3 linked regions of the Elephas maximus indicus genome follow. The protein of the gene in region 3 interacts with the protein of the main gene of each other region in a pairwise test. Links are inferred from orthologs where the notes say so. Each region holds a gene or a part of one and is shown on either strand. Other genes may lie near its edges.

Region 1 (7,945 bases), on a different chromosome or scaffold from region 3:
ATCTCTCTACACATCAAAAATGGACATTGTTGCAGGATGGAGACCACCGTGCACAAAAACCCTACCTTAGTGTGGAGGTTATTGCCCTTCACAGCTCGGCCATGTACATATACCTGCTCCTCTCTAGCCTGGCACCCCTCACTACCTTTTGTAAATATCTGTATCTAAACCAGAATATTTTGGTCAAATATAAAACAAAAAAAGGCATGGCATCATAGTCTGGGGTAGGAACAACCCCAAGAAAAGGAGATTATGGGGTATGAACACAGTAACTCACAGAATCACTGAATTAGCAGTCTCAGAATGAAGGAGAATCTTTTATGTAATCTGTCCTCATCAAATATAGATAGAATTCACTTCCTCCCCACCTCTCCATTACAGACAGAAAAAGATTCAACATTCCACACATACACCTCTTCCCAACCTGTAGGCAGTAGTTCACCCTTCTCTACCACACTGCCCTCCCCCCTGGCAGGCAAGGGAAGACATTTCTCCCAACTGGTGGGGGTAATTCTCAGGTTCATAGGGCAAAGGCTGCCCCAGGGACAACGGCACTGGTGTTGTGAAGCTGCAGTTTCTCCGGAATGGTGTGTCCAATGTCTTGATATTACTGACACCCTGGAGGAATGCCAGAATGAGAAAAGATCCCCTGCCCCCAAGTCAGAATAGAACAGCCCCTCCTTTTACTCTCCCTTCCCCAACACCTAGTCACTGTCACTCACCAGTAGCTGTGGTGCCCTCTGTAGCCAGAACGTTTCAGGCTGCTCCTTACGGTAGTCGTGGGGCTGTGAGGGAGAGACACTGAATAACTCTTAGCCTACAGTCCCTTCTCTCAGCCTCTGGGCCTGCTGCGTTCCCATAGCCTGTCAGAGTCCAGCTGTGCATGTGGGATGGGATGAGTTCTCACCTTGGTGGGGGCGGGAGGCCCTGCTTGCACCAGCTCCATTTGGTAGTCATGGTGTGTCACAGACTCAGCTTCAAACAGCTTCCTTGTGGGTTCCTGCTCTGCCTGTACCTCTTTACTATACAGCCCTGAGGGAAGTCAAGGCCACTTTCTCCCAGTTTTTGTCCTCCCCTTCCCTTCCATCTTCCCCCAGACTCCTACCAGATCTGGTGATGCAGGAGCATCTCCACCATGGCTTCCCGCTTCCCTGTGGGAGGGCAGGGGGTGGACAGAATGCGGAAATATGGTTAAGAAACAGGCCCAGAAAAAACACATTTATGATAAAGGAATGAAAATCTTATGGTTTTTTTTTTTTTTTCCTATACTCATTGGACCATCCACAGTCCCACTGAAAATTCCTTCCTCTCCTGTTTTTCTGATTAATGGACTAATTTTGGCCTGTCTCTCATGCTTCACACCTCGAAGTGACTGACAGACGTTTGCTGGGGGTTGGTACGAGTCTTTCTGGGTGGTGCTGGAGGGCATGGGTGACTGCAGCTGCAGGGTCAGCAGTCCTCGGTGTCCGTGTCGGAAGAAGAAACTCTCATAACCATCCTGCATGCTTGGGACTTGATCCAGGTGGTTGGTAGCCCTCTGTGGACCCCGAGTTGAATGACCATGATGTCCCTTCTGGTACACCCTCAAGATCTACTTTCTCCCCCAGGAAACAGGGCAGCCCTTAAGAAAAGGGGGCAGGCCAAAACCTTAATACCTCCTCCTCCCAGTTGTAGAGGAGACACTGGCCCCGTGGCAATGTTTCAGAAAGCCCCTTAGATTTCCCTTGGACCTTTGAGGGCTTCCATAGCCCTCGGGCACCAGGTTCTGGGACTTGCAAAAATCCCCAGGATGGCTGTTTCTGAGGCTCCAGGTAGCACTGCTGCCTCCAGGAGGTGTAAGTAGGGTCTGGATCTGCTCTAAGGTTTCTGAGCTCAGGGCTAGGGCCAGTGCTTGGACCAAGGCCAGAGCCTGGACCAGGCCCAGTGTCAGAGGCAGGACCAGGACCAGAGCCTTGACCAGAGCCATGGCCAGGGCCAGAGCCTTGACCAGAGCCACGGTCAGGGCCAGAGTCCCAGCCAGGACTGGAGCTAGTGTCAGGAACAGGACCAGAGCTAGAGCCACGAGGATGGCAAGAGGGAGAGCTATCAGTTGTAGTACAGCGGTCCTGAGCAACACGGGAAACATAGGTGGGCTCAAAGCCAAGACTTCCATGGCCTATTTTGTGAGTAAAACTGGATCCAGCATAGGAATCCCCAAGAAAACTGAGGTCAGAGGAGGGATCGGTGAGAAAAGCCTCAGAGTAGGGCCCTGGGATCTTTGTAGATAATGCAGCTGCTTTGGCAATAGAGGCGGCTGCAGTGGCTGCAGCAGCTGAGGCAGCCGAAGCAGCTGCTGCGGTTGCGGCTGCCAGGGCAGACCTAGTAACGCCATCTGAAGAAGGAAGCGGTTCTGAAGTGGACCCTAGTCCTTCGGAGCTGGGCTGTACGTCTAAAGACCTGAAAGAGAGCAAAGCCGTCAAAGTTGTCAAAAGCACAGCTGAGGAAGTCAGCAGACCTTCCTTGGCCGCTTATGCCTGCAGCCACAGCTGCAATTCTCACCGCGACTCCGATCCCTCTGTACACTCGTTTCTCTCCATCTTCAGGCACCAGCTATCGCGTTGCCATGGAGATGGCAAATAAATCCTAGAGACTGCGCAGAACCGGAGCGGGGCGGATGTGGATGGTGGGGGCGGAGACAAGTCCTCTGCGGGGCGGAAGTCTTAAACCTGACGTGGTTTGGGACGGCTGCTTTCTCCTTCCGACTCCATTCCGCCTCAGGCCCATTTTAAGGTTCCGCTGACCCAAGGCCTTGTTCTCCATGCCCAAGCATGAGCCTTGGCAGCTAAGGCTGGGTCTTTATGGGAAGATGCTGGAGACAAGCAGAGAGCTGTGGCTCAAAGGCAAAAGCCTACCTGGTGTGTTTGTGGAGAGGCAACAATAGCTTTCCCTTAGTTCATTCTCAAAAGTTGAGGGAGTCTTTAAAAAAAAAAATTATGGATGAAAATACACGAGATGACAATTTGAAAGTAAAACAGCGAGACGTAGGAAGAGTCAAAGAGTAGCAGGTTTTTTTTTTTGTGGCTGCTTCTCCTCCAATAAAAGGTACAGGCCTTTCACACTGACCATCTTCTCTCCCCCCCACCCCTGCCCCCCTACCTTAGAATCTGGCTTGGCCTCTGAATAAGGGCCGGGATTTGAGCAAGCCTCATTCCTGCTACTTTTCTGTAAGTCTGACCCGGAGTGCTTCACTAGTCATGAAGACTCAAATCTACAGGCAACCACTCCTTTAATCACAAGGTGGGGCTCCTCAGTGTTTCTCACTCACTCAGACTATAGTTAAGAGGGATCATACCTGTGGATGTTACCCCCCCCTTTATGGTATAAATCTTTATATATTTAAGACACGGATCCAAAGTTGTAGGAGAGGTTTATTGGCATCACAGGGTCCTTTTTCCCCTTCCCCATCCAAGCATCCAGGCCCGGGGTCCTTGGTCAGTTGATTGGTTGGTTCATCCTGGAGGCCACAGGAGCTGTCGGCCCCCAAGTACATGAATGTGCAGGTGATAAACAGATTGTGCGCCCAGCTTCCCATCGTTGATCACTGAAAGGGAGCTTGGGGTTAGGATGTCAAAAACTGAAGATCATATTAAAGGGTAGGTATGAGAATTCATAGGTTAGGGGCTCAAGGGCCAAAAGTTACGCACCAAGCCGGTATCCATCTGCCAGGCCCTCAGCCTTTGCTATCTTCTTGGCCACAAGGAGGAGGTGTCCTAGAAGCTACAGGGAGAGGGAGGGAGCCAGGTGGCTTCATTCACAAGGAACAAAATCTCCAGCTGGTCCAGGGCCTCCCCAGCCAAACCGTGGCCCCGTTCTTCCCACCTGCTGATCCTCCTCTTCAGCCTGGCTGATCCGAGGAATGGGCTTCTTAGGAATGACCAGGAAGTGCACAGGAGCCTGAGGGGCCACATCACGGAACACAAGGCACTGGAGGTTGGAGGAAGGACTTATCAGGCAGTGACAGGCCAGACGCCACCATGTTACTTCATTAGGCAGGACTGTATCTTTGAGGGGTTACCTATGAAATTCCTGGGGGGATGTGTCCTAAGGGCATCCCACCTGATGGTCTTCATATAGAATGTCAGCTGGGAGGCTTCGGTCCAGGATCCGGGAGAAGATGGTTGGGGCTGCTCCCCCAGGAGCTGCCCGCTGAGCCTTGGCCACTTCGTTTCCATCAGTCACACCTGCGCATCCTCGGACCTGAAGGTTGGTGAGACATACTCAGAGAAGGATTTGGCAATACCTCTCCCATGTACTAAGGGCCACAGAAGCTGAGCTCTGATAGTCATTAACTTCACCCTTCTAAGAACCTATTAGTGACTCCCACCCAAGGGAAAAGGTGCTGAATTTCAGAGTATCAGCAACAGAGGTGGGGCCAGATGGTGCTGGGCCTAGCTACGTAACAGGAAATATTTCAGTGAAGGATTCAGCAGTGCAACTGATTCCTGCTCCTAACCTGTCTAGGGGACCTAGCACTGTCAGGGGAAAAGGATCCATAATGAGAAATCCAGAGGCTCAGGTCCCAGTTCCTATTTTACCACTGAATTACCTCAGATAAATACCTTCTCTTCAAACAAACAACAAAAGAATGGTTTGCATCATCTCTTAAATCCACTCAGAGCTCTTTCCATTTACTCTTACCTTGTTAATAAGTTTTCACTTATTTCCATTATTTGCTTTCTGATCTTTAAGCCTTGTCACCTATTTTATTCAGATTTTAATGCAACTGCCCTGTTTGTCACGAGTTGATCCGTCATCTGGGTGTTATGTCTGACCTCTTACTGTGGATTGCAACTCCTGTCAGCCCCTGGAGTCAGTGGAGGGAAAATGTCACCTAAGTGAACTCAGCTCCCTCAGCCCCAGGGAATCGGGGGAAGGAAGTCCCAGGTGTCCATCGCTCAGAAGAGACTGAATTCATGAGTCACTTTGGGGAAGGGGGCAGGGTACAGGATGAATTAGACTTCTCTGACCCTCGAGTCGCTCTGGCAAGTCGCTGGGGAAGATGAAGGGTTAACACTAGTGCTCATTAGAAGGCCCGGGTCCTGAAGACAGAAGGCTGGCTCCGAAAAGGGGAAGCTCATTTCCTGCAGGGGGCATCAAGTAGGCTGCCCAGAGCAGGCATCGGGTCAGCTGGGCTCCAAGCCGGAGGTGATACCAGCCGCTGCAGTGACCCTGTCCTGATCTCGGGTCTGTGCAGGGCATCGGTCACCTCCAGTTCGCGTCTCTCGCGGAGAGGGTGCCGCGACCTTCAGTCCGACCTTATCGCACAACCGCAGAGCCTGCGCCTCGGTAGAGGCAGACGCCACAGCCGTGCGCTCGGGCTCCGGCCCCGCGAGGCCGCAGAGCTGTGCATGCCTTTGGGATCACGACCCTGGAGGGCGCCAGAGCCCACGGGACACCCTCCCCGCTCCTGCGGCCACTTCTCACCTGCGCCCCCTGCGACCCCGCGGCCGCCACCGCCCTGCGCGCTACGCGCAGCCCGGCGGCCAGCACAAAGGCCGCCGCCATCTTCCCCTCAGCTACCGCGGGAAGTTTTCGCCTAGGCCAGTACTCTAGGCCGGTTCGAGGTGGGGCTGGACGCCACAGGCTGCGTCGGGGCTACCGGGGGAGCGGGTGAGGAGCGGCCATTGGCTCCGCCAGCGCCCAGGAACAGCCCTGCCATCCCATTGGGTTGTGCTCCTAGGCGCTAAGTGCCGCCGAGAGGGTGGCACTATTAACTCCATTGACTCCTCAGCTACGTCAGAGGCGGGAGCTTTTCATCCCATTGGCGGCTTTTGCCAAGCCGAGAGTGATTTTTCCACTAGTCAGGGTGAAAGTTCTTTTTCCATTGGATCCCCTAAATAGTTTCACGCCATTGGAATGATTAAGAGACCCAGAGGTGGGGTTTCCTCCCAATTGGATCTGATACAGAACACGGGTTCTGCTTAGATTGAGGCTCCCCAGGTCTAGCCCCTACTGGTGGACTCTGGGGACGGGGGCGGGTTCGGTCATCTGCCGCACAAAGCGCTAAAATATTTTAGATTCTTCCACCGCATTGGTCAAGAGGAGGGAGGGGTTCGGAGGTAACTTAGCGTTTATTGGCTCCAGGGAATTCCCGCTAACCCCTGGAGCCAAGGCCCTAGGAGTCCCGGAAGGAGGAGAGCGAGTGGAGGACAGGGGACTGGCTGGGCTGAAGGTGAACTGAGTCAGAGTTCTTTTTTTTCCATCCTACGGGTGGGGTCGACGTCTAAAAGTTGTACTTGTCAGATAGCCACCATTTGCACACAAGGGCAGTTTCAGCCTCATGAGCTTTCTACGATTTTAACTTACCGGTTGATCTGAGGGCAATTCTGCCTTAATTTCATGTTCTCGTTAACGCATTCACTCCAAAGATTAAGGATTCTGCAGTTGTAGGGCTGTTTTTTTTTTTTTTTTAATTGGGAGGGGGGTGTTCTATTTTTGCCTCACTACTAAATAAGCAAAAGAATGTATCTAATGTTCTTTCCTAATCAGAAGTTAGCTCAGTGCCTGGTATTTTCAGTGAAATACATCATGGACATAGGTCAGAAGCATATTTCCCTGTGGTGGAATATATATTTTTGACATAACAAACATGGGGTCACAAAATGCTAATATACTCAGACACCACAGAAGTTGAACTCTGAGCTTAAGCACATAGGACAGGATACCACTGTATCTTTAGTGGCCTGACCCATGTAGGTGCACAATCATTATTTGTTGAATAATTAACATTTGATGTTTTTCCTTTCATAATATACAATGCATATGTATTACATATTATGTTTATTCTCTATGCCCCACAGACTTTCCAAGGAGCGCCTGGTGGATTCGAACTGCCGACCTTTTTGGTTAGCAGCCACTCAACCACTACGCCACCAAAATTTCCTATTATTGATTAGTCTATGTAAATATACTTTATAATGGCTACATAATATTTCCTTGAGTGAGTTTATCACAGTAACCATTACTGTTGATTATTAGTTGGGTTATGTTTAGGTGAATTATCATAGTGCTAACTGCATATAGGAGCCCCCCCCTTTTTTTTTTAACTGCATATAGGAGCCCTGGTGGTATAGTGGTTGAGAGCTTGGCTGCTAACCAAAAGGCTGGCAGTTTGAATCCACCAGCTGCTCCTTGGAAGCCCAATGGGGCAGGTCTACTCTGTCCTACAGGGTCACTATGAGTCAGAATCGACTCGATGACAATGGGCTTTTTTTTGTTGTTGTTAACTGCATATAACCAGTGATTAGCTCTTTGCTTCTGGAGATAGTACAATCTCTTTTCGTATAGCTGTATTATTGTTAGAAAGTCCTTTCTCCCTGAAGGGCAGACATTTGACCCTGTGACTTCCCCCAGGGATCCTAGAAGTCAGGCTGTAGTCATTCCTTCGGAAGGATAGAGGGCCTCCCTAAATATAAGTAAATGTAGACTGGCCTTTTCTCTGTGTTTCAGAGACCAAAACTTTTTGTGGTGTCTCTGGGATAGCAGGACCCCCTGGAGCTCGCGTGGAGAAAGGTAGCTGAGATGTAGGACGAGGTAGGAAACCAGCCAAGAGGGGTAGATGAGTACAAAGCACTTGAAATTAAGATTAAGGTAATTGGTTATTTCTTTGGGTTCTCATAGAGAGCAGGTAGCAAACAGATTATTCCTGATTTACAGATCTGAAAACTGAGGATCAGAGAGGGAAAGTGACTTGCCTAGGGTCACAAAGCCCATTGGACTTTATACCAGTCTGATTCTGATTTTGTGTCAGAATCTCATACTCCTCGTAAAAGTTATCTATGGACTTCCTAGTCACTCTCCTACATTCACTGATCTTGGCCCCTGAGTCATAGTCTTCTCTATGTGAAGCGCTTCTCATCACCTGTAGCTGCTCTCATCTGAAAGCTTCAGTGCTCTGCAGAGTGAC
Region 2 (7,386 bases), on a different chromosome or scaffold from region 3:
AGCCGCCCAGGGCCTGCTGCGAAGTCTGCCTGGACGCTGAGCCCTCGCAGCCCACTGCCTCCGGGAGAGAACGGGACTGGGACGCCCCGGGAGATGGAGAAGGTGGCCGTCGCGTTGGACAGCGGACGCACGGCCACCAGGGGCCGCTACAGGACAGGGGGCAAAGTCGCCCGCCACCCCACCCGGCGCGCACACACTTGAGTCTGGACTCGGTTTTCTTGTCCTGAGAGGAGGGCACAGGAAAGTCTTTATTGTGGACCCAGCAGAGTTGGCCTTTACTCGTGCAGACTTTCCGGCCCTCACCCAACTCCGGCTTTCTGGCCCAGGCTCCTGCGGCCCGCGGTCGTCCAGGAGAGGGCTCTAGGCGCCCTTCCTGCAGCGCTTCTGCAGCCAAATTCGCTAGACCGCCGCCGCGGTGCCCAGTCAGGAGCCAGGCTGGTCTGCTGGCCCACCTATCGTTCTTTCATTAGATTCTAGACTGAGGCCCAAGAGCTGCAGACACCCCATCAGGTAGTGGAGGAAGGGGGACTGCAGGGAGAGGGCGAGGCCCGGGATGGCCTGGAAGAGGAGGAATAGAGGAAGGTGGAGCGAATGGTCCATCCTGGTGGGAGCTGGCTGGGCGAGTGGCCGCGCATGTGAGCCTGCATGGAGGCCAGGCTGGGGCAGCCGGCCAGACACAGAGGGCAGCGGTAGGGCGCAGCCCCATGGGTCCGAAGATGCTTGGTCATGGCAGAGAAGTCCCGGGAGCGCTGAGGGCAGAGGCTACAGGAGAATGGTTTCTCACCTAGGACGGACAGAGGGGGAGCCCAGTGGAGAAGGGAAGACGGATGAAGGCTGGTCAAGCTACGCCATGCAGAAGCGGATGAGGGAGCCAGCAAACTGAAGTTGGGAAGGAAGCAGGCAACTCATGCAGGGCTGGATGCCCCTACCTGTGTGGACTCGGTAGTGTGTCTCCATCTGATGCTTGAGTGAAAACCTCTTTCCACAGACAGAGCAAGAATAGGGCCGAACGCGAGCAGGAGGGGGCGGGGGAGGATGTTGGTGAGATATGCGGCCCGCTTTGCCATTATGACCCACAGAGGTTGCAGTCGAGCCTGCGGGGACAGGAGTCAAAGGAGGGTGAGGCAGGGCACCCAGGCTGGGTCACAGGAACACCCAGGTAAAACATCAGGGGCTACAGCGGAGCTTAAGCCAAAGCATCCCCACCCTGTTCACCAGTGTGGTCCTGATCAGATGCTTCCATCTCCCCAGGGCTTAGCCGTGTGTGTGGGGGGGGGGGGTCCTGGGGGAGGGAATCTGGAAGGAGCAGAGTGAGGTGGGGGCCCTGCTGAGACTGGACTCTTAGAGCCTCTGCCCTGCCCGAGGAGAAACCACGTTATAGCATGTGTGCAGTGCAGTGAGGGGCTTACCTGGAGTGGGGCTGGAGGAGGCCAATAGGTTCTGGCTCCAGAGCCCTTTCTGGAGGTTCAGGGGCAGTGGGATCCTAGGAGGGGTGTGGGGGAAGAGTTACAGCCCTGGCAAAACCCGAGAGCCTCGCCATCCCTGGTCTCTTCCTGGGGAGAGAGGTGTCCTAGGACTTTCTCAGGGGCGGAGCTCTGAGCTTCCTGTCTCATCCCCTGCTCAGGAAATGTATAGAAGATATAAGAGGTGTGGTGCCCTTCCACCCATCACCTCTGCCTCTCCTAAGCCACTCCCTCCCGGCTCCTGAGACCTCCACTAAGCCCTTCACTCACCTCTGGTCCTGAGGCCAGACCTCCTGCCGGGATCCAGTGATGGGGGTGATGGGGGTGATGGGGGTGCTGGGGGAGAAGGGAGTGCCATATCTGGGCGGCAACAGCAGGATGCTCTGCAGGGCAGGCTGGCCCTCCCCCAACCAGGGGGCCTCAGCCCACCAGGGCCTGGGGACGATGCTGGCTTGGAGGGAACCTGGTTGGGGAAGGGGGCTAGGGGACTCCCACAGACTTTCCTCAGAGCTCCCTGGACTCTCCCTCAACCACACGACAGCTCCTGGCTTCCCATCTTCTTCCCCGTGGCCAACAGAGGATTGGCTGAGTTTCTCCTTTGATCTCATTTGTTTCCCATGACCCTCTCGCTTTGCCCCTGTCACCTCATGGCTCTCTCCTGGTGGCCAGTGCTTGTGCCGTGGTTCCTGTTCTCTCCCACCAGCTCTGAAAAACTCTGGCCTCTGCTTCTCTCCAGGGCCCCCCAGTTCCCTCTCAGAATCCCTTAGGGGTTTTTCTGGCTCCTCCTGATGTTTCTTCGGCCCTGGTTCCTGCTCCTCATTAGTCCTGTCCCTTCGAGCCCTTCTGCATGCTTCTTCCAGGGCCTGGACCCCCAGGGCTCTGGCCGCCTCCTCAAGGGCTCCCAGCTCCCCAGGGTGCAGCTCCACACTCTCCCCGTAAACAAACTGCAGAAGCTGGGCAAAAGTGGAAGGGCTGATGCCTTCTGCCAAAGCCCACCAGCCCCTGTGACCCAGCTGCTGGCTCACACCTGCTAGCACCAGGCTGTGGGCTGGAAACTCTTGGCTTCCCACAGTGATCAGGGTATCACATAGTGCCGGCCGGAGCCTGGCTGCCAGCCGTACCAGCCGATCAGAGGCGTAGGGGCTGGGCAGTCTCATGGGGGGTAGGGACATTGTGCCTTGTCTGGGTACCGATCTCAGTGGTTCTGAGAGGAAGGCCACAGTATGGGCTCCATGGTGGAAAAGGGAGGGAGGAACGGCATATTCTCAAGCCTGTGGAGGTGAGGGGAGAAAGAATGAGTTGCTGGTCCTGGATCAGAGCTCTTTGTCCTCAAATGGAGCAAATAAACCAGCCCTAGAGAAAAGCTGAACTTATCCAGAATCGTAACAGGGGTGGGGAGTGAAGAAATGGAAATTAGGCCAAATTTAGACTTAAAGAGCAAGGATCAGGCAGTCAACAAAAATACCAAGTAGCTGATTTAAGGCTCGAGTGTATGTGGGGTCTGCCAATTGACAATCTGGCTTAATGGATAGCAGACATTGATATTTCTGCTGCTTCAGGTCCCTCTGCAAGGAAAGACTTCTAAGCAGGCCAGGCTTTCCTCATTCCAGACAAAGGGATCACCACAAAACCCAGCCAGTCAGCCCAGGCATTTAGGGAGGAGCAGGACTGAGCTTCACAGGCAGAGCTTGGAAAGCTGGTGTGTCCGCCCTCCACGGGCCCAGCAAGTGGTTGCTGAGGCTTCTGAGAAGCCAAGATAAGGGTCATGGCTGCAGGAGAGCAGGCTATAAGCCATCCATCAATCAATCATCCCCCTTAGGCTGAAGCTTCTAGAATGCATCCTCAGAGCAGGAACTGGATAAGAACAAAAACTCCCATCCAGTGAGTTGAGAAAGCAGGCTCAGAAGCCACAGGAGAGAAAGCTGATCCAAGGATGGAGAGAGGCTTTGGAGAAGGCTTTGACCCCTGAGGAAGTGAGAGAAAGGGAAATGGGAACTGTATAGGGGAAGACTCTTTGCTCTCAAGATTAGGATAGGAAGATGGTTTAATTCTGTTTTCATAAGCCAAAAAGCGAATAGAAAGACAGAACCCAGCAAGGCAGGAGTTTCTCACAAGTGAAAACTACCACACTGGCTTTCAAGAAGAGAACTCGGAGCCCAGACACACAGAGAAACAGAACCAAAGTGTCTCCACACCCAACAGCCATATTCCTGGGGGCAGGCTCACCATGAGCAAGGACCCTTGTGGGAGGGAAGGTTACTACTTGGACACCTCCGGGAGAGGGCAGCACGTTGGCAGGGAGTGAACAGAAAGGGTGGAGTGTGGGGAGAAAAGCCTCAGCTGGAGAGACGCAAGCACTCACCAGTTGTAGCATCCTCACTGGACACCGCATGCTCTGAACTGCTGGTCGGGCTCCTGCCCCCCACCCCCTCCCCTGAAGCTAGCCCCACCCCTGACCTCACCGTCCTCCATTGGATGTCCCAAGTTTCAGTCTGCTACAGTCCCCCGGGGGGTGTGGTTTTATACCTCTAGCTCTGCTTCACCCCTCCAGGAGAGGCCGGCCTCTACTTCCAGACGTTCTGCCTCCTTACCTCCTGTCTCCTGACCTCATTAGTGAACTAGAGTCCAAGAAGTGTACCTGAGGCGACAAGGACTTTGGAGCAGTCAGACTCGCATTTCAGTCTCATCTCTGCCATTTACTAGCTGAGTCATCTTGGACAAGTTACCTCCCTGAGCCTCAGTTACCTCATCCATGAAATGGGGATAATTTCTGCTTATGCCACTTGGCGGTGGGGGTGAAGATGATATGACATGATGAATGCGAAAGTGGTTTGTAAGTGCATAGCATCATCCAAATAGTATTAGTTCTGGTTCTTAGAGGTGACAATAGAGCTGCGGTAGCTGAAAGCTGTTTCTACTCCTACCTCAGAAGTAAAAAGGATGGAAACAACTGGATTCCAAAGAGAGCAGGAGGGAGGGCCACAGGCATTCCTCCTTCTCCCTGACTGTTGGAGCTGGGAAGCCTTGCTTGCTCTGTAGGAATGACCCCTGACATCTGGGTCGCAGTGGGGTATTGAATGTGAGTAACTCGGATCCTCCCATCAAACTCTGGAGGGGGCAACCCCAGGAAGGGCCTGCGGTGGTCTTCAAAGAGAGAAACTCCTTTTCTTGGGTTGATGACAAATGACATTTCTCTGAAATCAGGACTTAGGTTTCTTTCACTTCCTGCCCAGAAGGTCAAAGCCCCTGGAGATTTCCCCTCTTAGTTCTAGCACTGTTTAATCTGGGGAAGGGAGGAGGTCTGAGAGACTCAAGTTTCTTTTTCTGTTTCTTATTATTCTATTATCCCTGCTCCTGTACCACATTCTACATTCATTCAATAAATGCTGATATGATACAACAGTTACGATACGTGTCTGGCATATCATATATGCCCAATAAGTAACTGGAAGATAAATAAGATATCAGGCACTGGGAGCTGTTCTGGTAACAAAAAAGATAGCCTGGTGCCCCCCTGGTTTACCCTCCAGCTACATGTCAGGGAGTGATGCTTTATGCGTCCCTCCTAGACTCAAATTCTAGGTCTCTAAGCGCCTCTTTCTCCCTTTGGCTCCAAGACACCAAAATGTTCAGACCAAACTTCACTGTCTCCCTCTATGCCTAACATGTCTTCTCTGTACCTCTCATTCTAGTTTGGGTGTGAGCAGGTGTTAACCCTTCCTAGATAAGACAGGGTGTGCCAATGGGTGGGGCTGCCGGAGGGGCAATGGGGTGGGGAGAGGGGAAGATGAGTCAGAGTGAAAAGGAAAATGCAAATGGGCAAGCTAATTCACCTGCTACCCCTCTGAACATTAAATATTTTCCACTTCTGAGCTTTCTGACTCCTCACACCACCACACCCAGGGGCACATCAGATACCCACATAAAAGACACTTAGTCTGGACACATAAAGCATCAGTCCCTGACATGTAGCCTCCCTCCCAAATAGAAACTCACAGTCCTCAAAGATACAGACTAAGTGGAGAAGGCCATCAGGGAGAAGCCCCGAGCCTAGGAGGGGTAACAAAGCAGAGGTAAGGAAGGTGGTCCCAGTGGAGTATGGTTCCCTCATCACCCAGCCATACGTCACCAGCCCATGACTCAGCTCCCATCACCAGTGTGGTCTGCCCAATGATGATCGAGAGACTTGGAGATTCTGCTCAAAGGGCACCATCCTCTGTCAGCCAAATGTAGATGACACGGAGTGTCAGGGGGCTTTAGGGAAGTCTAAAAGGGAGGAGAAGGGGCAAGGGGACTTCCCCTTCAGTGAACAAAAGCCCCCAAGAATGGGAAACCCCATCTTGCCTCCCACTTGGTGTCTAACCCACCTAAGGGTATCTCCTTAGAGACAGCCTCCTCAGAGGTATCCCCAAGGCCCTCTGCACCTCAACCCTTATGCAAGTGACGCTCTAGGCCTTTCTCCGCCCTCTCACCACATTCCCACAGAGCAACCCAAAGCATCCTGCACCGAGCAGTGACAGCAGAAGCAAATGCCACCTTGACTTGGAAGGACAGGAACACTGCTGATGGTTTGCTGCTCTTGAAAGTCTTTCCTCTCCAGCCTCAGACACCTCCCCACCTCCCAATTCCCAGACAGACTCAGTAGGGAATCACCTGTAGACGTCCTCCTGGGATGGAGCCAGGAAACCACAGGTTATAAAGACACAAGCCTGCACCCTGGGAGAGGGAGGGGGTAGGAAGGATTAGGTAGGAAGAAGATTATGTGGGAAAAGGAGGTCTGATTTCTGCCTCTCGGTCCTTCCTAATACTCATGTTGTTGTTAGGTACTGTTGAGTCGATTCCGACTCACAGCGACCCTATGTACCACAGGACGAAATACTGCCCAGTCCTGCGCCATGTTCACAATCGTTGTTATGCTTGAGCCCATTGTCGCCTAGATTCATACTCATACTACTAAGTTTAAAATCTGATATTTTTCATTTTTACTGGTAGGCTTGACCAAGGGGACAGTCAGGGGGAAATCATCAGGGGTTCAGTGCACACCTCAGCTACAAAAATAGAGCTTTCTAGAGATCCTTGCGTCATAAGTCTGTTATGGGTTGAATTGTGTCCTCCTCCCACCCACCCAAAAATATGCGTTGGAATCCTAACCTCTATACCTTTGAATTTAATCCTGTTTGAAAATAGGGTTTTCTCTGTTACGTTAGTGAAGCCATACCAGTTTAAGTGTGTGCCCTAAACCTAATCACTCCTGAGTTATGAAAAGCTGATTGGACAGGAACACACACCAGGGAAGACAGATGCCATGTGAGGTCTGTCTACAAGCCAAGGAACCAAGGAATGTCCAGGGCTACCACGAAGGAAGGAATCGACACAGGAGAGACCCTAATTTGGACTTTTAGCCTCCAGAACTGTGAGAAAATAAATTTCTGTTGTTTGAAGCCACCCCTTTATGGTATTTCTGTTACAGTAGCACTAGGAAACCAAGACACCCTTCAGGCACAATGCAGCATGATGTAAAAATGTCAACATAACAACACAAGTATGGATTCTCTTCACAACACTGTAACTGAAATCAAACCATGAGGTCAATTAGAGGGATGATTATTTTACAAAAAGTGTCCTCTGTTTATCTCACTTATTTTAAATATTGAGCCCCTAAGCTAAGCTAATCTAGATTCAATTGAGAAAAATTGATAGCTTGCCACTGCCCCCCCCCCAAAAAAAATCTTTTTAGGCAAATTAAGGTGGTTAAACTCTTCCCAGCATTTTATATAGTATAGAGTATCTAATATAAACCCACTGCCCTTGAGTCAATTCCAACTCATAGCGACCCTATAGGACAGAGTAGGACTGCACCATAGAATTTCCAAAGAGCACCTGGTGGATTCGAACTGCCCACCTCTTGGTTAGCAGCCATAGC
Region 3 (6,826 bases):
CGCAAGCAATTATTGGGTGAGGGTGCTCAGGCAGGGGCTGGGAACGATCTCGCTGGGTCTTTTAGGCCTCCCAGGACCCCAGCCCAAGGATTCCTACCATTCCGGGATCCCCAGCGTGTCCTGTTGGGGAGCTGTGGGATGCACTCGGCTGGACGGTGCTAGTGGCACGCCAGCGGGAGTGAGGAACTGGTCTCTGTGCTGTGGACTGCTCAGCCTGCTCGGTCAGGGCAGCGGCTGGTAGGGCCCCTGGCTCTCCTGAGCCCAGCAAAAAACGTTGGGTGGCTGAGCGAAAGAGAGGGCTAGGAAAGTGGCCATGGCTGGCCACATAACTGGGGAGTAGAGGGTCAGGTTTTGCTGCACCACAGCCTCCTTTTTCCAGCAGCTGCTTTTCTGGGAGAAGGGCGCTCTGAGTCTGGCTCGGAGGTCAACAAATAGAGCCTCTACCACCTAGAGTTGAAGCAGCCACAGATCGGTGCCCCAGCTCACCACTTTTCCTTTCTTTGGCAGAGGTGGAGAGTCCCAAAATGTCTTGGGGAAGGGCAGGAGGACAGCAAGTCCCTCTCCTATGCTGCCCTGGTGCCCACAGCCTTTGTCATTACCCTAGACTTCTTCATTACCCTAGACCTGCATCCTCGGCCAAGTGGACAGCAACCTGGGGTTTCCTGCTCTGGCCTTGGTGGCTGTCGGAGGCAACCACAAATCCAGCATACCGGGGCCTTAGTTTTTCAGAGAAGTGGATTTAATATTTTTAGATTCAGGGAATTCCCAAATCAGAAAACCTTTGAACCATGATTCCAGACCGGGGTTCCCATTTTTGCTACCTGGCTTCAGAGCCCTTGCTTTGCCACAGTAGAATCGGCTCCAACTTTCGTGGCTGTTCAGTTTCAGAATCCCTAGACCCGGCTCTAGAGAAGAAGCTGTGTGCTGGGGAATCCTCCGTCAGCAACCAGAACCGGGAGAAGCCGTGGGAATGTCTTTATTGGACTTTACTAAAAGCATTTAGGGTTTCTGTAAGGGGAAGGTGAGGCCCAACCCGTATGGGAGAGGGCAGCTCTGCGCGCGGGGCAGGCCGCCCTGGGCTGGGGGTGCCTCCCAGCGCTGCGGCGGACGTCGGGGTTGGCGATCGAAGGGACCCGAGGCTCCGGGGCTCCGGCCGATGTCTGCTGCTTTTCTGCCATATTGCTGCTCGAACGAACAAACGAGCGAAGCGGTTTCGTTTAGGACAAATACCCTCTTGACGCGAAGCTACGGCCGAAGTCCCGGGCCATGGAGAGGGGCCTGCGCATCCGCCTGTGCTGGGGGCCCTCAACCCAGGGCATATCGGGGAACAGCGGACAGCCCTCTCGCCTGTCCCTTTCTCCCTGGGGACCCCTTGCGCCCTGGCCACCGCTAGAAGTTGCGCGGGGCGTCCAGGGTGTCCTTGGCCTGCGCCCCCAAGGCTGCTGCCTTCTTGGGGTGCCTGGGGCCGAAGCGCGGGGTGGGCCCACCAGTTAGGTGAGGTAGCGCCCGGAGATGGCAGCTGTGACCGTGCGCACCACTCAGGAATGAACTCCTCGCTCTGCCCCGATGGCGCCTGGCCTTCCGCGCATTGCGCTCGGTCCTGCCCCACCGGCTGGACCGCACGGAGCAAACAGCGCGGGACTCGGCCGCCACTTCCCTGCGCTCCTCCACCGCGGAGCGTCGGCGTCCCCTAGCCCAGCGTTTCTAACCCTACCTGGGCTGCGCTGCGTCTGCGGCTCGTCGGCTCCGGGCTCGCCTGCCGCCGACTCAGATTTAGATTTCGGCTCCGGCTGGGGCCCCGGATCCAATTCAGTCTCCGACTCTGCGCGCTGCTTCGGCCCCCGCCGGGTCGCTACATCCCAGCGCGTAAGGTCCGGGCTGCCTCGGCTCGGCCCGCTCCTCCTGCCGCGGCGGCTGCCGCCGCCCGTCGCCCGCGGGGAAGGCGGGGACACCGGCCGGGGAGGCGGGAAGGGGGGGAGGGGAAGCAAGGCGCTAGCCTAGGCAAGCGGGGAGGGGGCGGCGCGCAGTCCAGCGGGCTAGGGGCCCTGTCCTCCCTCGGGAAGCAGGCTGGGGTCTCACGGCTCTCCGCAGAGGCCCTAGGCCGGGAAGCGCGCCCCGGGACGGCTGGTGCGTGGGAGGGGCTCCAGCCGTCTGCGGTTGAAGCTGCTGGGGTCCCACCCTAGCCCAGACACTTTACTCTTGCTGGGCTCAGTTACCCACCTGGCACGTTAGGGGACGGGCCGGCTTCCGTTTAGTCCGGGTCTGATCGGAGTTTCCCGGGGGCCTGCCAGGTGATGGTCAAGCTGGGGTTATGAGAGTCAATCCTTTCCTTTTCCTGCTCAGCCTGCGGGAGGGAGCCGGGTTTGCATGTTGGCAGAGAGAATCAGCTGTGCAGATTTTGGCAGCCACGGAGGTTTGAGGTCAGACCCCAAGGTTTCTCTATGTAAGGGGGTGCTCGGGAGGGGCAATCGCCCGACCGGCCCTGCTTGGGGAATTTCCCCTTCTCCCTCTTCAGAGACTCGTCTGGGGAATAAAGGGGAGGCCAACCTCACGAGGACAGACGCCTCTGCGACTCCTTGTCTGGTCCCTTCCCTTGCACACCCTCCAGCGGCCGCCTTTCTCCCGGACGGCGCACGTGGGAGGCCTCTGCCCATGTGGTCCCTCAGGTCGGTTCCTGGCTGGCAGCCATTGGGAGACTGGAAGGACTGAGGGGACCTGGGGGCCTGCCCCTCTCTCACCCGTAGGCCTCCGGATTCCCCAGCGTTGCCTAGTGGCCAGATAACCCCGCAAGTGAAACCTCAAGGGGGAGACCCATTGGCAGAACCTGCTCCGGCTTTCCCCAAGCTCTCAGTCTGAGCCTCCGGCTTCTGGAATGGTGGGATGGGACGAGTTCGGCTGTGACTGTTTATCCAGGCCCAGACTGCGGGACAAGAGCGGCCGAGCCTGCCCGCCGACACCCCAGGGCTCTGGGATGGCCGCTTCGGCGCTAGGTGCCGGGAGATGGCAGCGCGGCGGCCGGCGTCAATGTTGCACGAGATGCCATCATCGGCGGCGCCTCCCTCCCTGGTTCTCGCTGACAGCTGGTGCTGGTGAGGCTGCAGCCCCGACGCCCGACCTGGCGCCCTGCTCCGCCGCGCCTCCAGGGCCGCCTAGCCTCGGAAAGCGCAGAGCCGAGACCCCCGCCCTACCCTCAAGGCCGGAAGCCAGCCCGACGCAAGCTCCCAGAGGCCAGGGCATTCAGGCCCTGCGGGGTGGCCCTTGCACCCTGTCCTGCTTTTCCGGGACTCCGCGACCTCCTCTCAATCCTTAAAAGCCGGAACCCTTCTCCAGGGGTGTGTGGGGATCAGTGCGCACGGGGTCATAAGGGCTAAAAGACGCGCCTTGGACGCCGGCGCTTTCAGACCTGGACCTAGAGGCCTACTTGGGGAAACGCAATCTTGTGGCTTGGACCTTGCGCTGCCCGGGATTGCAATCCCACGCCTCTCTCCCCACCGCTAGTTGTGCGTTTTATGTGTGAAAATGGCCTGTTGGCAGGCCTGGCCCTGTGGGCCTTGTCCCTGGCAGCCTTACCCCCCACCCCAAGCGCCCAGACACCTTTGGGCATAAATGCAACCGCAGGACCCTTATTGTGAAGGCCGAGAGACAGGCACCTGGCTGGGGTGGTTTCATTTAGGTGTCTCACCCTTCCACCCCTGTACACCAGCGATTTTCAGGGGTTTTGTTCCCAGTGGGTGACGGGGTGGTGGTGTCATCATTCTCTGCTATGTTCTTGTTCTCAGCTAGGGCCTGTGGCACCAAGACACTGCTAATGGCCTGTGCTGGAGTCTTGTCTGTGCCTTATACTAGCTGTTTGGCTTTGGGCAAGTCACATAACCTCTTCCAGCCTCAACTTATCTGTCTGTGAAACAGGAGAGTAAGAGTATCGACTTTACAAGGCAGTTGAGGAATCGATGAGACAAAGCAAGTGAAGGGCTTAGCACTATGTTTTGTGGAGTTGAATGCTAAAGGTAACACCCGTCAGGTCACTTTGTTCTTTAAAAGTTTGCTCTAATTTTTGTTTCCCTCTTTCACCAGTGACGAGCCCTGGTAGCCAGTGGTTAAAGCCTTTGGCTGCTAACGGAAAGGTCAGCAGTATGAACCCATGGGAGAAAGATGTGGCTGTCTGCTTCCATAAAGATTTATAGCCTTGGAAACCCTATGGGGGCAGTTCCACTCTGTCCTATAGGGTCTCGATGGCAGTGGGTTTGTTGGGTTTTCCCCAGCATGGTCACATTGGTTGAGTCAGGCAGGAGCAGAACACCTCTCTGATTTAGCAGAGCTGCTCCTTATTCCCTCCAGGCTGGGCAGACTGGGTGGGGCCAGAGCCTGACAACCTGGAAGTTCTTGGAAGGTCAAAACAGGCTTTGTATGATTTCATTTTCCCCTCTTCCAAAAAGAATTTTCCACAATTTCCCTTTAGCTTTTGACATCTTGAGGCACATATATTTCCACTGTCAAGGCAGATGGATTGGAAATCAAAGAGAGGAAGAGCGGGGCAGGGTCCACTAGGAACAGAAGTAACACAGTCCCTGTATCTAAGTGTCACTTTAGCTTTGAGCTTCCTAGTACCTAAGTGAAAAGTGCAACAAGATTGGTTGACACAGTTGTTTTGTCTCTTCTTCCAAAATGGCATGCTTCCTTTAGTCAGAAGAAGTTTTTCTCCATAGTACAAAACTCCAAGTTGGATTTGTCACATCTGAATAGCATAATGGGCAAATGGCTTCAGTCACAGTTTTGCAGTGTTTCTTAATATCCAGTAAAAGTAGGGAGAGTGTCTGTCTTAGTTATCTAATGCTGCCATAACAGAAATACCACAAGTGGATGGCTTTAACAAAGAGAAATTTATTCTCTCACAATTGAGCAGGCTACAACTCCAAATTCAGGGTGTCAGCTCCAGGGGAAGGCCTTGTCTCTCTGTCGGCTCTGGAGGAAGGTCCTTGTCATCAGTCTTTCCCTGGTCGAGGAGCTTCTCAGTGCAGGGACCCTGGGTCCAAAGGATATGCTCTGCTCCTGGCTCTGCTTTCCTGGTGGTACGAGGTCCCCATGTCTCTCTGCTTGCTTCTCTCTTTTATATCTCAAAAGAGATTGGCTTAAGACATCATCTAATCTTGTAGATCTCATCAATGTAACTGCCACTAATCCATCTCATTACATTATAGTGATAAGATTTACAACACGTAGGAAAATCATGTCAGATGACAAAATGGTAGACAATCATACAATACTGGGAATCATGACCTAGCCAAGTTGACAGATATTTTTGGAGGACACAATTCCATCCATGACAGTGACCTTTTCCTTCATGGGTCTTATTGCAATAGTATTGAAATAATTATTTGTGTAATGATTGGTTAAAATCTGTTGCCCTTACCATTTGTAAGCTCCTTGAGAGCAGAGCTGAGCCTCTCTTGTTCACTACAGGACCCTTGCTAGCATGGTCAAGGGATTCGATTATGCTGATTGGCTGGGTACAGCTCACATGCCCACTCCTAAACCAATCTCTTTGTGGAGAAGAGTGGTTTAGGGGTGTGGTTGGCCAGGCCAGGGTCACAGGCTCCACCCTAGAAGGATTACTCCCTACCAAAAGGAATACTCACTACATTCCCCCAAGAATCTTAGCTGCTGTCCCTTAGCAAGCTCTCAGAGTTAGAATTGTGGCAGGGAAGGTGTTAGTCTTCAAAGAAGCCCCTGCCCTGTGAAGGTTCTCAAGGGCCTGGTGGTGGAGTGGGTAAGAGTCCACCCTAATGTGATGGGGAGGCACTGGTTCTCTTGGGAGAGTCTGAAGTCCAACAGGACTGTTCTGGCACTCATCTGTGGCAAAGAGGTGAGAGTGCCACCAGAAAGCCTGAGGGGAGGCTCAGAGTCTGCTGATTCCATATAGAGATGGACCCACAAAGCAAGGGAGGGTATCCATTTGTGGTCCCTTGCTCATCCTTGAGAAGGAGGGAGTTGGAGAATCTGAAAGTGGAGAAGACCTCCTAGGATCAGGCAAGATGTTGATGTACTTGAACATTGATTATAGTGCACTCTGAGGCTCCTGGGAGCCAAAGCAAAAAGAGAAACCTTTTGAGCATCTCAAGTACTTTTTTTTTTTTTTCATTGCAGACCTGTCAGCATCTGTAAGGAACAGTGGGAAGAACTCTGGTCTGGGACCCTCTTGGACTGGCCTCTCTCAGGTCAGCAAAGGTTTAGAAAGCACACACTTCATGCCCATGATCACAGAGATGCAGAGATGGATGGCTTCTGCTCATGTGGGTTGAGCTGAGGAGGCAGACGTACAAACCCATAACCATATTTGGAGCACAAATGCTGGAGACGAAATCTGCAGCCCGCTGTTGAAGGGTCTTGAATGACATACTACAGAGTTTGTTTGGAACAGTATTTCCACCCCGCCCCTCTCCACTCCCTGGGAAAACAGTACGAACAAAGGCCCAGAGGTGAGAGAATTGTGGTATACCTGAGAATTTGAAAGAAGGGCAGTGTGGCTACAGAATAGCATTGAGGGCAGGTGAGAAGGCAGAGAATGGGGGAAGAGGAGGTTGGAGAATTAAATAGGAGCCGGATACTGTGGGGCTTCATGAAGCTTTGTAGTATTGTAGTATAGTGGGGTATTATTCTGAAGACGAAGAGACGTAGATGAAGGGTTTAAGAAGGGAGACGGTTGGTTAGATTAATATTTCAGAAAGATCACTCAGCCTGGAGAGTGTAGGATGGATTCCAGGGGGTGAGGTGGGAGCAGGCTATTGTAACATCATTCACTCAGCCACTACATCCATCTGTTTGTCCA

The links. The genes of interacting proteins can lie anywhere in the genome.
Region 1: the proteins of PITX1 (region 3) and SPAG8 interact in binary tests that used the Homo sapiens proteins (3 or more experiments, as listed by UniProt). The link is inferred for Elephas maximus indicus from reciprocal best matches to the Homo sapiens genes PITX1 and SPAG8.
Region 2: the proteins of PITX1 (region 3) and ZBTB32 interact in a two-hybrid assay, tested with the Homo sapiens proteins (2 studies listed by BioGRID). The link is inferred for Elephas maximus indicus from reciprocal best matches to the Homo sapiens genes PITX1 and ZBTB32.

The regions. Positions count from the first base shown.
Region 1 is NC_064827.1:44,604,817-44,612,761, forward strand, and holds SPAG8 (sperm-associated antigen 8), read right to left. Parts: upstream 3,007-7,945; 5' UTR 2,577-3,006; coding exon 2,539-2,576; intron 2,437-2,538; coding exon 1,656-2,436; intron 1,538-1,655; coding exon 1,363-1,537; intron 1,152-1,362; coding exon 1,106-1,151; intron 1,023-1,105; coding exon 908-1,022; intron 786-907; coding exon 723-785; intron 619-722; coding exon 439-618; downstream 1-438. Other genes in the region: adenosine 5'-monophosphoramidase HINT2, read right to left, coding at 3,489-3,580, 3,684-3,756, 3,859-3,963, 4,096-4,236, 5,464-5,544. UniProt on the Homo sapiens protein: Microtubule inner protein (MIP) part of the dynein-decorated doublet microtubules (DMTs) in cilia axoneme, which is required for motile cilia beating.
Region 2 is NC_064829.1:114,682,509-114,689,894, reverse strand, and holds ZBTB32 (zinc finger and BTB domain-containing protein 32), read right to left. Parts: upstream 2,636-7,386; coding exon 1,734-2,635; intron 1,484-1,733; coding exon 1,410-1,483; intron 1,095-1,409; coding exon 930-1,094; intron 785-929; coding exon 507-784; downstream 1-506. UniProt on the Homo sapiens protein: DNA-binding protein that binds to the to a 5'-TGTACAGTGT-3' core sequence. May function as a transcriptional transactivator and transcriptional repressor. Probably exerts its repressor effect by preventing GATA3 from binding to DNA.
Region 3 is NC_064820.1:147,512,471-147,519,296, forward strand, and holds the start of PITX1 (pituitary homeobox 1), read right to left. Parts: upstream 3,013-6,826; 5' UTR 2,825-3,012; intron 2,759-2,824; exon of another isoform or gene 2,548-2,758; intron 2,345-2,547; 5' UTR 2,221-2,344; intron 2,213-2,220; exon of another isoform or gene 1,853-2,212; 5' UTR 1,715-1,852; intron 1-1,714. UniProt on the Homo sapiens protein: Sequence-specific transcription factor that binds gene promoters and activates their transcription. May play a role in the development of anterior structures, and in particular, the brain and facies and in specifying the identity or structure of hindlimb.